Rattus norvegicus: one gene and its partners. Each later gene encodes a partner of the first gene's protein in a complex. Links are inferred from orthologs where the notes say so. Each region holds a gene or a part of one and is shown in the gene's direction. Other genes may lie near its edges. The genes, in order: Brd8, Anp32e and Epc1.

What was found.
Region 2: Brd8 (region 1) and Anp32e share a complex: the UniProt entries of both Homo sapiens proteins name them as parts of the SWR1-like complex. The link is inferred for Rattus norvegicus from reciprocal best matches to the Homo sapiens genes BRD8 and ANP32E.
Region 3: Brd8 (region 1) and Epc1 share a complex: the UniProt entries of both Homo sapiens proteins name them as parts of the nuA4-related complex. The link is inferred for Rattus norvegicus from reciprocal best matches to the Homo sapiens genes BRD8 and EPC1.

What each region holds. Positions count from the first base shown.
Region 1 is NC_086036.1:26,501,168-26,505,440, reverse strand, and holds the start of Brd8 (bromodomain-containing protein 8), read left to right. Parts: upstream 1-1,434; 5' UTR 1,435-1,452; coding exon 1,453-1,471; intron 1,472-2,461; coding exon 2,462-2,558; intron 2,559-4,273. Other genes in the region: kinesin-like protein KIF20A, read right to left, coding at 358-519. UniProt on the Homo sapiens protein: May act as a coactivator during transcriptional activation by hormone-activated nuclear receptors (NR). Isoform 2 stimulates transcriptional activation by AR/DHTR, ESR1/NR3A1, RXRA/NR2B1 and THRB/ERBA2.
Region 2 is NC_086020.1:186,167,950-186,171,598, forward strand, and holds part of Anp32e (acidic leucine-rich nuclear phosphoprotein 32 family member E), read left to right. Parts: intron 1-270; coding exon 271-439; intron 440-1,096; coding exon 1,097-1,251; intron 1,252-3,649. UniProt on the Homo sapiens protein: Histone chaperone that specifically mediates the genome-wide removal of histone H2A.Z/H2AZ1 from the nucleosome: removes H2A.Z/H2AZ1 from its normal sites of deposition, especially from enhancer and insulator regions.
Region 3 is NC_086035.1:59,212,937-59,216,585, reverse strand, and holds part of Epc1 (enhancer of polycomb homolog 1), read left to right. Parts: coding exon 1-168; intron 169-702; coding exon 703-851; intron 852-1,884; coding exon 1,885-2,044; intron 2,045-3,649. UniProt on the Homo sapiens protein: Component of the NuA4 histone acetyltransferase (HAT) complex, a multiprotein complex involved in transcriptional activation of select genes principally by acetylation of nucleosomal histones H4 and H2A.

The sequences.
Region 1 (4,273 bases):
GATATTTCATGAATATATGCTAATAATATTCATATATATATATATATATATTTTTTTTTTTTTGGTTCTTTTTTTCGGAGCTGGGGACCGAACCCAGGGCCTTGTGCTTCCTAGGCAAGCGCTCTACCACTGAGCTAAATCCCCAGCCCCTTGGTTTTTCAAGATAGGGCTTCCCTGGGTGGTCGTGGCTGTCCTGGAACTCACTTGGTCAACCAGGCTGGGCTTGAACTAACAGAGATCCGCGCTATTTTCTGCCTCTGTCAGGAATTACTAGCCTTTGATCTCATACTACCTTGTATAAATAACTGTTAAGCTGAAGATACCATTTTCTGCTCCTAAGCCACAGAACTCCTTTACCTGTTTGTCCTCCAGAGAGGCCGAGATGACAGAGCAATCTGACAACAGGTCCTTTCGGACCACAGACCTCAGATCTGCAGCTGTGGACTCTAACACGGGGGAGTCTGCAACATCCTCATCAGAGAGTAAGCCCACTGGCGGAGAAAGGATCCCGTGAGACATGACAAGCAGGGTCAGTCTATGTCTAAAAAGAGACAAGAGTAGATGGGTAGAACATTAACGCACAAAAACTGCAAACTTAGGTTAAACAGTCCCCTGGTTAAAAAGCGACGTCCTTGCTTTGGTCGAGACTATACACCTTTACAGCCAAGGGGAAGAGAATGAGAACAACTAAATCAGCCCGAAGCTGCATTTCTGAAGGTGAATAGGCACGAAGAACAGAAGGCCACGCTCCACAGAGGCTGTCCAGGCCTGCCAATGCATGTGTGTTTCAGATCCCAAGGGTACTTTTCCAAAGGGTACTCACTCCAAAGACCACGAGAACTAGGAAATTATGAAAGACCTAGGAGCTTTCTGAGGACTACGATATGCAAGCAACAGCTGATAACCGGAGTTCCATCCCCAATTGCACTCTGATAACCGGAGTTCCATCCCAATTGCACTCACCTGAAGACAGCCTGCTTCGCTGCTTCTCTGATTCCCAGCTTCTACCCAGCTGAGACCCACGACTCCTGCTACGGAGAACACAACTCCGCCCACGAGGAACAGCTTTGTTCCTCATACAATGTTTTAAAATGCGCGCTGAGCTTATCCGACCAATCAGAAAGCGAAGGCTGAAGGAACCAATCAGCAAAAGGGAGTGAGCAGAGGCGACCGGAAGACCGTTTGCTTTCAATGTGGGTCCGGGTTACCAACTGTCACTTCCAAGGTGTTCGTTATTGGGTTCGTTTCACTTAGTTCTAAACCTAGACGTTTCATTTCGGAGGCTTCAGCTTGTCCTTTATTAGTTAAAAAGAAAATTTTTCCTAGAGGGATTTCGCGTCTATTAGGAAACAGACCCACCCACATTACCCACGAGGCACCGCGAACGGACTCATACAGTTTTTCCCAGAGTTCCTCGCGTCTGTCGCAATCGTTGAAGACGTCGGAGCCAAAATGGCGACCGGGACAGGCAGTGAGTATCGGAGCAGCTTTTATGGTCAAGGCCTTTGTAGAGTCCAGACTAGGCATTCCATTTCTCAGGCACGAAAGGAGCGGAAGGAGTGGGTTGTTAGAGAGCGCAAAACTCAGAGACCTGCCTTTCACGTCGCTTTCAGAACCACCACCTGGGGTTTTAACAGTGGTGGGAGGAATCGGAAGCTGGTGAAAAACAGCCTAGGAAGCCTTTGTGTGCTAGACGCTCTCTGGGGTAAAACATAAAGGTAGTATGAAGTGGCCAGCGACTCATTTGTTTATCTAACCAGGCTGTGAGAAGCAGTCGAAATGATTATCTGCTGATGTAGGCGTTTCCTGACACCGGGGGAAACTCATCTCGTGTATTTCAGCCATTTTTTCAGTTTCACCAACGAACTCTTTATACCCGACGATTGGGGGGAGGAGCTGAGATGTAAACAACTTTATGCAAAAAAGGAGGTGGGCAGTAGGAGCCGGTGGCCGATTGGAATCTTGGGAAATACGCCCGAGTTCAAACAATTTTAAAACTTTTTTTTTTTTAATGAGAACCTTATTTTAACGTAACACTGCCAGTTTCTTTTTTTTTTTTTTTTTTTCTTTTGGAAGCAGAACACCTTGAAGCTATGGCATTTAAACACAATGTTCTATAAATGTGTATTCAATGAAAGCACCCTGGTCAATAATGGTAATATTTCATTGGAATGGTGAAAACTCAAGATTTGGTGATTATAATTGATAATAGTAGTTCACATTGTTCGAACTAATTTAAGATTTATTTGAGACAGGGTTTTATTGTGTGACTGATCCTGGCTGACCTGGAACACACTATGCAGACCAGGCTAGCCTCACAGAAATCTGTCTGCTTCTGCTTCCTGAGAACCAGAATTACCACTCCACAATTTGCCTGGGGTGTTGGTTTATATCAGACTTTTAGCTGTTCTGGGGCTCAGAACTAGTTCGGAGGTTGTTTCTGAGCTTTCTCTATTTCCAGAGCACAAGCTGCTGAGTACTGGCCCGACAGAACCATGGTCCATCCGAGAGAAGTTGTGTTTAGCATCTTCTGTTATGAGGAGTGGGGATCAGAACTGGTAAGGAATCTAAGATATCTGCCTTTTTTTTTTTTTTGGTTCTTTTTTTTTTTTTTTTTTTTTTTTTTGGAGCTGGGGACCGAACCCAGGGCCTTGCGCGTCCTAGGCAAGCGCTCTACCACTGAGCTAAATCCCCAACCCCAGATATCTGCTTTCTTTTTTTTTTGGTTCTTTTTTTCGGAGCTGGGGACCGAACCCAGGGCCTTGCGCTTCCTAGGCAAGCGCTCTACCACTGAGTTAAATCCCCAACCCCAGATATCTGCTTTCTTGACCCGTTGGGCTGAGTATCTTTCTCTTTGTTCTTTTGTTTGTTTTTGTAACAGGTTTTCTCTGTGTGGCCATGGTTATCTTAGAATTCATCCTGTAGACCAGGCTAGCCTGAACTCAGAATGCCTGCCTCTGCCTTCTTAGTACTGGAGTTAAAGACATATGGGATCAGGCTAGCCAGGACTAAGTATTTTTCACCTCAGTGTATTCCTTAAGTTACCTTAAGCTTTATGTAGAGGTCAGCTTTACCAAAATACAAATCATAAAGCATAAAATGAGCCTACTGGCAGGGAAAATAGTGGTGGTTTCTTCTATTTTCACAAACTTGTGCAGCCGTCCCTGCAATTTAAGAAGTTTCTTTAATCTTTAAACTAAGTCTGGCTAGATAGATAGCTCAGAGTTTAAAAGCATTGGTTGCTTTTCCAGAGGTTGAGTTCAACTCCCAGAAACCACATGGTGTCTCACAACCATTTGTGATGGGATCTGACGCCCTCTTCTGGTGTGTGTGTGAAGATAGCAACAGTGTACTCATATACATAAAATAAGAAAGTCTCTACATTTACCACTCCCTCTCTTCCCTGAGCAATCTACTTTTCCTAGACTTGGCTATCCTTTAGGTATAATATGTAGTCTTCTGGGACCAGCTTTTTAGTCAGTTAACATACCACTCTTCAAGGTTTATTCACATGTAACATATGAATACTTTTCTAGTATTGGCCAGATGAAAACATGAACCAACCATCCCTTCCATACCCATGGAGACTGAGTCCCAGCACCCTTGAGGGGTAAAGATGGTGGTGGCTCAGTTCCTTTACATAAGATCCCATATTTGCATATAACCAACACCTGTCCTCCTGAATACTCCAGATTATCTCTGGATTATATTACCTAATGCAATGAAATAGCATGTGAATGGTTTAGGGCAGAGGAACCTGTGGGTGGTGACACTTTGGTAAACCTCTGTCTAGAAAAATATTTACATTATAATTCATAATGGTAGCAAAATTATAATTGTGAGGTAGCAACAAAAATAATGTTATGATTGGGGGTCACCACAGCATGAGAAACTGTAAAAGGGGACGAAGCTTTAGGAAGATTGAAGTCACTGGTTTAGGGCGTACAAGTACAGATAGCTTTTTGGTTTTGGACATGGCTGTAATGTCCCAGGCTGAGGAAATCCAAGAATGCACATCTCCTGGCTATGGACAGTCAACTACATATTCATTACCTGACATTTGGACTGCCACCTTGGGACAGAATTAGGTCTTCATATGGTAGCTCTAGGTCTTTTTCTCTCTTTCTTTCTTTCCTTCTTTCTTTCTTTCTTTTTTTTTTTTGAGGAACTGCCAAACCATTTTCTTTATTATTTCAAAAATTAAGTATGTTTATCTGTGTATTGGGGTTATTTGGGCATATCAGTGCAGAATCCCTTGGGAGCCAGAAGAGGA
Region 2 (3,649 bases), on another chromosome or scaffold:
ATTTCTGCCTAGATTCTGTCAGCCAAAGTGGCCTGGAGTGTCTGCAAGAAATTAAGTGTAAGACAGATGCTGGGGACACAGTGGTGACAAGTCAGTTTCCCCACGGGTTCTGATAGAGAGCTGCTGCCTGTATTTGGGGGATGGCCTTAGAACCCTAAAAGTGTGAAAAGTTGTTCTTTGGCTCCAAGTGTATGTTCTCACATCCTTCATTAAAACTGGAGAACACAGTGTTTAAGATCTTGATTGTAGCCTTGAACTTTACTTTTTCAGCAAAATCTTAAAAATTTGAAAAGTCTTGACTTGTTTAACTGTGAGATCACAAACCTGGAAGATTACAGAGAAAGTATTTTCGAACTGCTGCAACAAATCACATACTTGGACGGATTTGATCAGGAGGACAATGAAGCGCCCGACTCAGAGGAGGAGGAGGAGGACGAGGGTAAGGCTTCTATTTCTGTTTCTCATTCGTTTTGAGATAGGGTGTCTCTACAGAACGCTGGCTGTTCTGGAACTCACTATGTAGACCAGGCTGGCCCCAGACTTAGAGAACCACCTGCCTCTGCCCACTGTGTGCTGGGATCAAAGGTGTGCACCATGCCTGTCAACAAGCAGGCTTTGAAATGACCACAAAGTAAAACCAACTTCAGTGTGTATAATGTTTGAAAATCTATTTTGGAAAGGTCCTTTCCAGTGCCAGGATGGGGCCATCCTCACACGTGCTAGCTATGTGCTGACCTGGATCCCCAGGCCTAGGAAGGGCACTTCTTGGGTGACATGTAACAGTGCTGTAAATGGATGGGTTTGGGGCTTTTTGTTTTGTTTTATCGAGACAGGGTCTCTCTGCTGTCCTGGAACTCTGTAGATCAGGTTGGCCTCAAACTTAGAACCACCTGCCTGTCTCCCCAGTGCTGGGATTAAAGTGTGCACTGCTATTGCCTGGCCGGGATTTTTTTTTAAGCAGGGTAGGGGCACTTGGTGGCACTCGCCACAATTAGATTAAGGTGTTGGAATGATTTGGGCAAGAGTGAGGAGGGCCATGTACCAGGAAGACAGATTTGTCCAGATACTCGCTCACGTTTTACAATGTTTTTTCAAGATGGAGATGAGGATGAGGAAGATGAGGAAGAAGATGAAGCTGGTCCACCTGAAGGATACGAAGATGAGGATGAGGATGAGGATGAAGCTGGCTCAGAAGTAGGAGAGGGAGAAGAGGAGGTGGGCCTCTCATACTTAATGAAAGAAGAAATTCAGGTGAATGGAAACTTGCTATTCGCCCTGAAGACAGTTGGCACAGGGCTAAGTGCTGTGAGGAGTAGGTTGTGAGTCGTTTCCTGACGTGTGGATAAGCATCTGTCTTTTCTCTCCCTCCTCCTGGGTGTTCCATAATATGTCCAGATAGCTATAAACGCTTGGTTTTTTGTTTGTGTTTTTAGCTCAATTACAATTGTTGTTTAAAAACTCTCGGGGCAGGTGAGCCATAAGCCTCAGCAGCTCCTGGGAAGAGAGTGGAGGGAAGAAGGGGGAAAAAAAAGCCATTATGGTGCTAAAGCTGGCATTGAGGTTGGACAATGTCAGACCAGCGGTCACAGGGCAGGGAAGGGGTGTGGAAGCCCACGGAGTCAGAAAAGGTGTAATTGGGCTCTGGCCAGCATTCAGAAAGAATGAGAAAAAGGAAAAGTTGCCTCTTTTGACTTGGGTTTCAGAAAGGTGGGCAGAGTCAACCGAATCTCATGGCCACTGGTAGGAACTGTCATTGCCTGCTCTTTATCTCCTAAGTGTGTGAATTGACTCTGCCTTTAGTGTCACGGGATGCTGGAACATTTTGTGAATGTCTAAACATTTTCTGAATGTCTGAGCCCCTTCCTGCATTTGCAAGCTCATGGAGTTGCTTTAACAAGGGGATATCTATAAAACACCTAGTTCCTGGTTGATCCATTGCAGAGACCTGAGATTTCTTACCTTCAGTTATCTCTTTATGCTCCTGCAGTAGCTTTTCTTCCTTTTTTTAGTTAAAAAAAAAATTGTGTGTGCACCTGTTTGTGAATGTGGTGTGTGGATGCAGTTGCCTGTGGAAGCCAGAAGAGGGTGCTGTGGAGCTGCACTTACAGTGGGCACCACAGTGTTGGAAACTGAAGAGTCTTAACCACGGGCTTAGGTACCAACCACTACCTGCATTAGCTTTCTGAGCGGTCTCTACCTAGGACAGCTCTGAGCAGGGATGTCTTCCACTGTGCCCGGGTATGCAGAGACACTCGTTACCCTCCGCGGTGTGCTGTCATGTCTCTCTCTTGCCACTGACGCATACAGGCCTGCCCTTCATTCTCTGCTACCCTTAATCTTGATTAGGCTTTGTTACCTGGAGATGGTCTCGTAAAAACCTCTCTGCTTTTTATCGAGTGGTGAGTTCTTTACATGGGGGCTGTTAATCTAACAGCTAGTACATTGAGTGGGAAGTAGAATGAGTGATCCTTAACCCCTGGGAGTTTAGAGAAGTTACCTTCTCGTTATGTTAAAGTAAGTTTTATTTTCACAATTTGAAATACTTGTTTCTTTTAAACATCTCTCAATGCTAGGGATATAGCTCAGTGATAGTACACTTACCTGACATTTTTAAGATTTATTTTATGTGTATCAGTGAACGCTCACGTGTATGTCTGTGTACCATGAGTGTGATTGGTTCTTGAGTCTCCTAGAACTGGAGTTACAAATGGTAGTGAGCTGTTATGTGGGCATTGGGAACTGAACCTGGATTAGCCAGTTGAGCCATGTCTCCATCTCCTTCCAATAATCTTTTAAATTTGAAATAAATGCACAAGAATAAGGCATGAGGCTTCTTTGGATCTTTATGAGTCGTTAACTGCTGCACAGTAATGAAGAGAAACTGAAGCCTCTCTTTAGTTTACACCATCATACAGCGTGATAGTTCTTTGGATTTGATTCTTTGGATTTTCTGCCAGGGATATCCTCCCTGAGTGTAAATGGTAGGTGCTTTGAAGGTTTTGTTTTGAGAGGTGTGTAGGATATTGCAGGTTTTAATCTGCATCCCAGGCTGCACTGAGTTGGTGGTCTTCCTCCTGAGGGCCTCCCATCACTCTTGCCTTAAACGTTCCTTTCAGTGACCTGCGTTGATTGACATGTAGGTATATTGTTCTGCTGGATTTTTGGTGATACTAACTCAAAATGCCATGGCCGAGCCTAGGTCAGAAACCTCTTAAGTACACACAGCATTGAGTTTTGCAGGACGAGGAAGCCTTTCATTCCACATGGGACAGCTTAGATGCTCAAAATGAAGTCTTAGCCGGGGGTGGGGTAGCTCAGGACCATAATCCCAGGTGTCCCGGAGGCAAGGCAGTAGAATTGCAGGAGTTAGTGATAGCATAGGCGGCCTACTGTGCTGTAGGGTAGTCCAGGCTACAGAGGAACCTCGGTCAGAACAAACCAGGCAACTCCAGAGCTCTCGCTTTTAGGAGCTAAGTGCCAGTCGCGCTTCAGAGACCATTGCTGCTTACAGGTGAAAGGCAGAGATGGTAGGTTTGACTGCGTTGTACCTTCTCCTTAGGAGGGCTGCTGTTTATTATATAGTATGGTTATTTTGTCTGGATGTGTCTGTACTGCGTGTATGAATGGTGATTGCAGAGGCCAGAAGAGG
Region 3 (3,649 bases), on another chromosome or scaffold:
GATGATGAGTTAATTAGAGAAGTTTATGAATACTGGATTAAAAAGAGGAAAACCTGCCGGGGGCCATCACTTATCCCGTCGGTAAAACAGGAAAAACGAGATGGTTCTAGCACAAATGATCCTTATGTGGCTTTTAGAAGACGAACTGAGAAAATGCAAACTCGAAAAGTAAGTAAATTTTTTAATTTTATGAAAAATTATTAATACCTTAATTTTGTGACTTAATTCTGTGCTTTTACATAATATTCCTTAAAATTATACTAGAGGGGTTGCTCAGTGGTTCTGAGCTTTTGTTTCTCTATCAGAGGACAGTATTGCAATTCCTGTACCCATATCAGGCAGCTCATAAGCACTCGTGACTCCTCCTGCTCCAAAGATTCTAGTGCCCCACTTTGGACCTGGGGGCACTTGTACACACACACACACACACACACACACACACACACACACACACACACACACACACTAACTTTTTTAATTACACGAGAAATTAGTAAAAGTAGTTGACCTTTAGAGTTTTTAATGGAGGTCTTAATATATATTAATACTGATTCACTTAAAAACCAGGTCTGGAATTGGTATCTTGGTGGTCTGTGTTCCTCTCCGGTGTCTTTAAGCTGTAGCCCTACAGATCCATACACTTTTATGTGCCAAGAATGAGAAGTGCTTCCTGATGTTAAGCAAGTAGCTTTATATTTCCAGAATCGCAAAAACGATGAAGCCTCCTATGAGAAAATGCTTAAGCTGCGCCGGGATCTCAGCCGGGCTGTCACCATCCTGGAGATGATCAAGAGACGTGAGAAAAGTAAACGGGAGCTGCTGCACCTGACACTGGAGATTATGGAGAAGAGGTGAAGCAAGTTCTCAGTGCCAGGACCATCGTGTTTTCCTAATCCGAAGTTTCAGAAACATTTTCTTTAATAGAGACTGTGGGTTAAACTGTGAAATTTTATACACAATTCTGTCTTAATTTTCTTGCAAGGTGATTGGGCTCACTAACAGCACATCAGGTGTTTCTATTGAGAGATATTTTATTATTTTTGAGTTGTGTGGCTGTATGAGAGTGTGTGTGACTGCTAGTAGTTTATTTGTAGTGTTTTGTGGGTTTGTGGGGGATTTTTAGTACTAGAGACAAAACCCAGGGCCCTGCACAACCCAGGCAAACATTTCCCTGAGCTCCCTCAGCACCATGATACTCAGATGACCACTTAGTGCCATGCACATGACATGTACATAAAAGCTCGTTCTCAAGGCCCTGCTTCTCAGCTCCTCCCCCCCCCCAAAAAAAAACACACTTAAATTTCTTATGATTCTTTCATAAAAAAGAAAGTACTTTTGTAGCACAGACAGTCCTAATTGGCAAGGTGTTTTTGGCACTGCTTGAGGCATTTCAGCCCTGAGCCGAGCTAAGACTGGACGGCTCAGGCGTTAGCCCCATCAGTAGAGTGCGCCTGTCAAGCATGCAGCTCTGGGTTTGAGCCAGGTGAGCCAGGCATGGTGGCTCGTGCCTGCAGGAGGTGCTTCAGAGGTTCTCTTGTAAAGAACCTGGTTTGATGCTCAGTACCCTGTGACATCTAACGACTTTCTGTTAAGCTTAGGTCCAGGGGTCCAGTATCCTCTCTGGCCACATGGGCATGGCACACACATGGTGCACAGACATACAAGTCGGCAACGTACCCATATGCATTTAGGGCCACTGTTGAGTAGCACGTGCGTTGAAAGTCGTATGTTACCCCACCTACAGCAGGCACACACGGTACCCGAGGAGGTGGCTGTTGAGTGAGTGAGTGAGTTAGTTAGTTGGACTGTAGATCATTTCACAGTGTGTATGGAAGCATCTCATTGTACTCTGTGTATAGCTTAAAGTTCCCTTTGTAATTTCAGGTATAATTTAGGTGACTACAGTGGAGAGATCATGTCTGAGGTCATGGCACAGAGACAGCCAGTGAAGCCTACCTATGCCATCCCCATCATCCCGATTACTAACAGCAGCCAGTTCAAACACCAGGACGTCACGGATGCGAAGGAGTTCAAAGTTAACAAGGTTATTAGAGCTTTGTAACAGTAGATCCAGTAAACAGGGAAAACCATGAATTCCTACCGCAAGGGATTTCTGAACACTGAAAATAAGGGACACTAAAAATGGGGAGCTTTTCACGACAATTTAATTTCCCTTGCTTCCTTACAAGGGAAGGCTTTGCTCTCTGTCTGATAAAAAGAGGGGTTTGCTGAGAGGGGGTATGAAATGTTGGTGTGGTTAGTGGTATGGAGGCCTGGAGAGAGCATGAAGCCTTCCACCCAGTGTAACGTTCTGGGCCACATCTGTGTGTCAGTGTCAGGCGGGTCTTGTCAACGGCTGGTAACGTGGGCAGAAGTGGAAATACTTTGACAAGTTGATATGTCCTAATTTGTGAAGAGTAAAATTGGTGAGGGGGAAATAAAATTAGTAAGGAGAAAACCAGGGGAATAAGAGAGAGCCGGCAGTGTGCCTTTCTGATAAATGCACCTTAGCAGGGAAGGTTTTCATATACTTGTGACCTAACATGTATCATTTAACTCAGACTTAGCATTCCATTTCAATTGAGGAAATAATGTGATCTGCTAATCATTTATTATCTAACCTGTTCTGTTTAATATTTTGTGTCTGTGATTTTTTTTTTTTTTTATAATTTGGTGTATAATTTACCGTACCATTTGGAATGGTGGTTTCTGCAGCATAGACTTTTTCCCTATCAGAGCACTGACCAAGACTATTTCAAACATGTTGGTTTTGAAGTATTGAACTGTTGAACAGATAAATAGAAGTATTCTCTTTGGTAATCACAAATGGTGGCTATTAATCCCAGCAGAAGCTGTGCCTGGCAGATCTCTTGAGGTTGAGACACAGCCTGGTCTACATAGTGAGTTTCAGGCTAGCCAAGGCTACTCAGTGAAACACCTCTATCCAATTACCTCTGCCAAAAAAAAAAAAAAAAAAAAAAAAAATGCTAAAGGCCATGTTCCAAATACTTGTGTGCTCATAATTTCCAGTCCTGCATAGTACAGTTTTCCTTGTTTTTATATTGAAGTCTATTGTCCACCTGTCTGAAATATATGGCCTTACAAATCACTTCAAAGGTGTTACTTTGATTTTTATATTTTGGGATTTAACTCGGATTCTAATTGTACAACATTCATTGTTCGTCTGTATGTTCCAGAGACATGAGCCATGCATGTGGTTCTGGTTTACCTTAAATCCTTCTAAGTCAAGACAGAGTCATTAGTGGAATAGGCCTGCTGTTTTGAACATTTTCTTATTTAAATTTTCATTCAAACTGTTTTGTTGTCTGGCTGGAGAGCTGGGTGAGCAGTTAGGAGTGCCCATTGTTCCTGCAGAGGACCTGGGTGCAGTTGAGTTGCCAGCACCTACGTGAGATGGCATACAGTTCTGTAATTCCAGTTCCAGGGGGTCTGACAGTCTCTGGCTTTTGAAGACACCTGCACATACACATACACTTTTAAGTCTTTTAAGCAAATGTTTGTTTTGAACAGAGCAAATGTAGATTATTAGGGGAAACTGAGACTGACCCTCTGAGGGTAGGGGGGCCACCAGAGGGTTGCCTGAGCCTCTTTTAATAGTTCAAGCACTTGGCTCCCCAAGTAATAATTA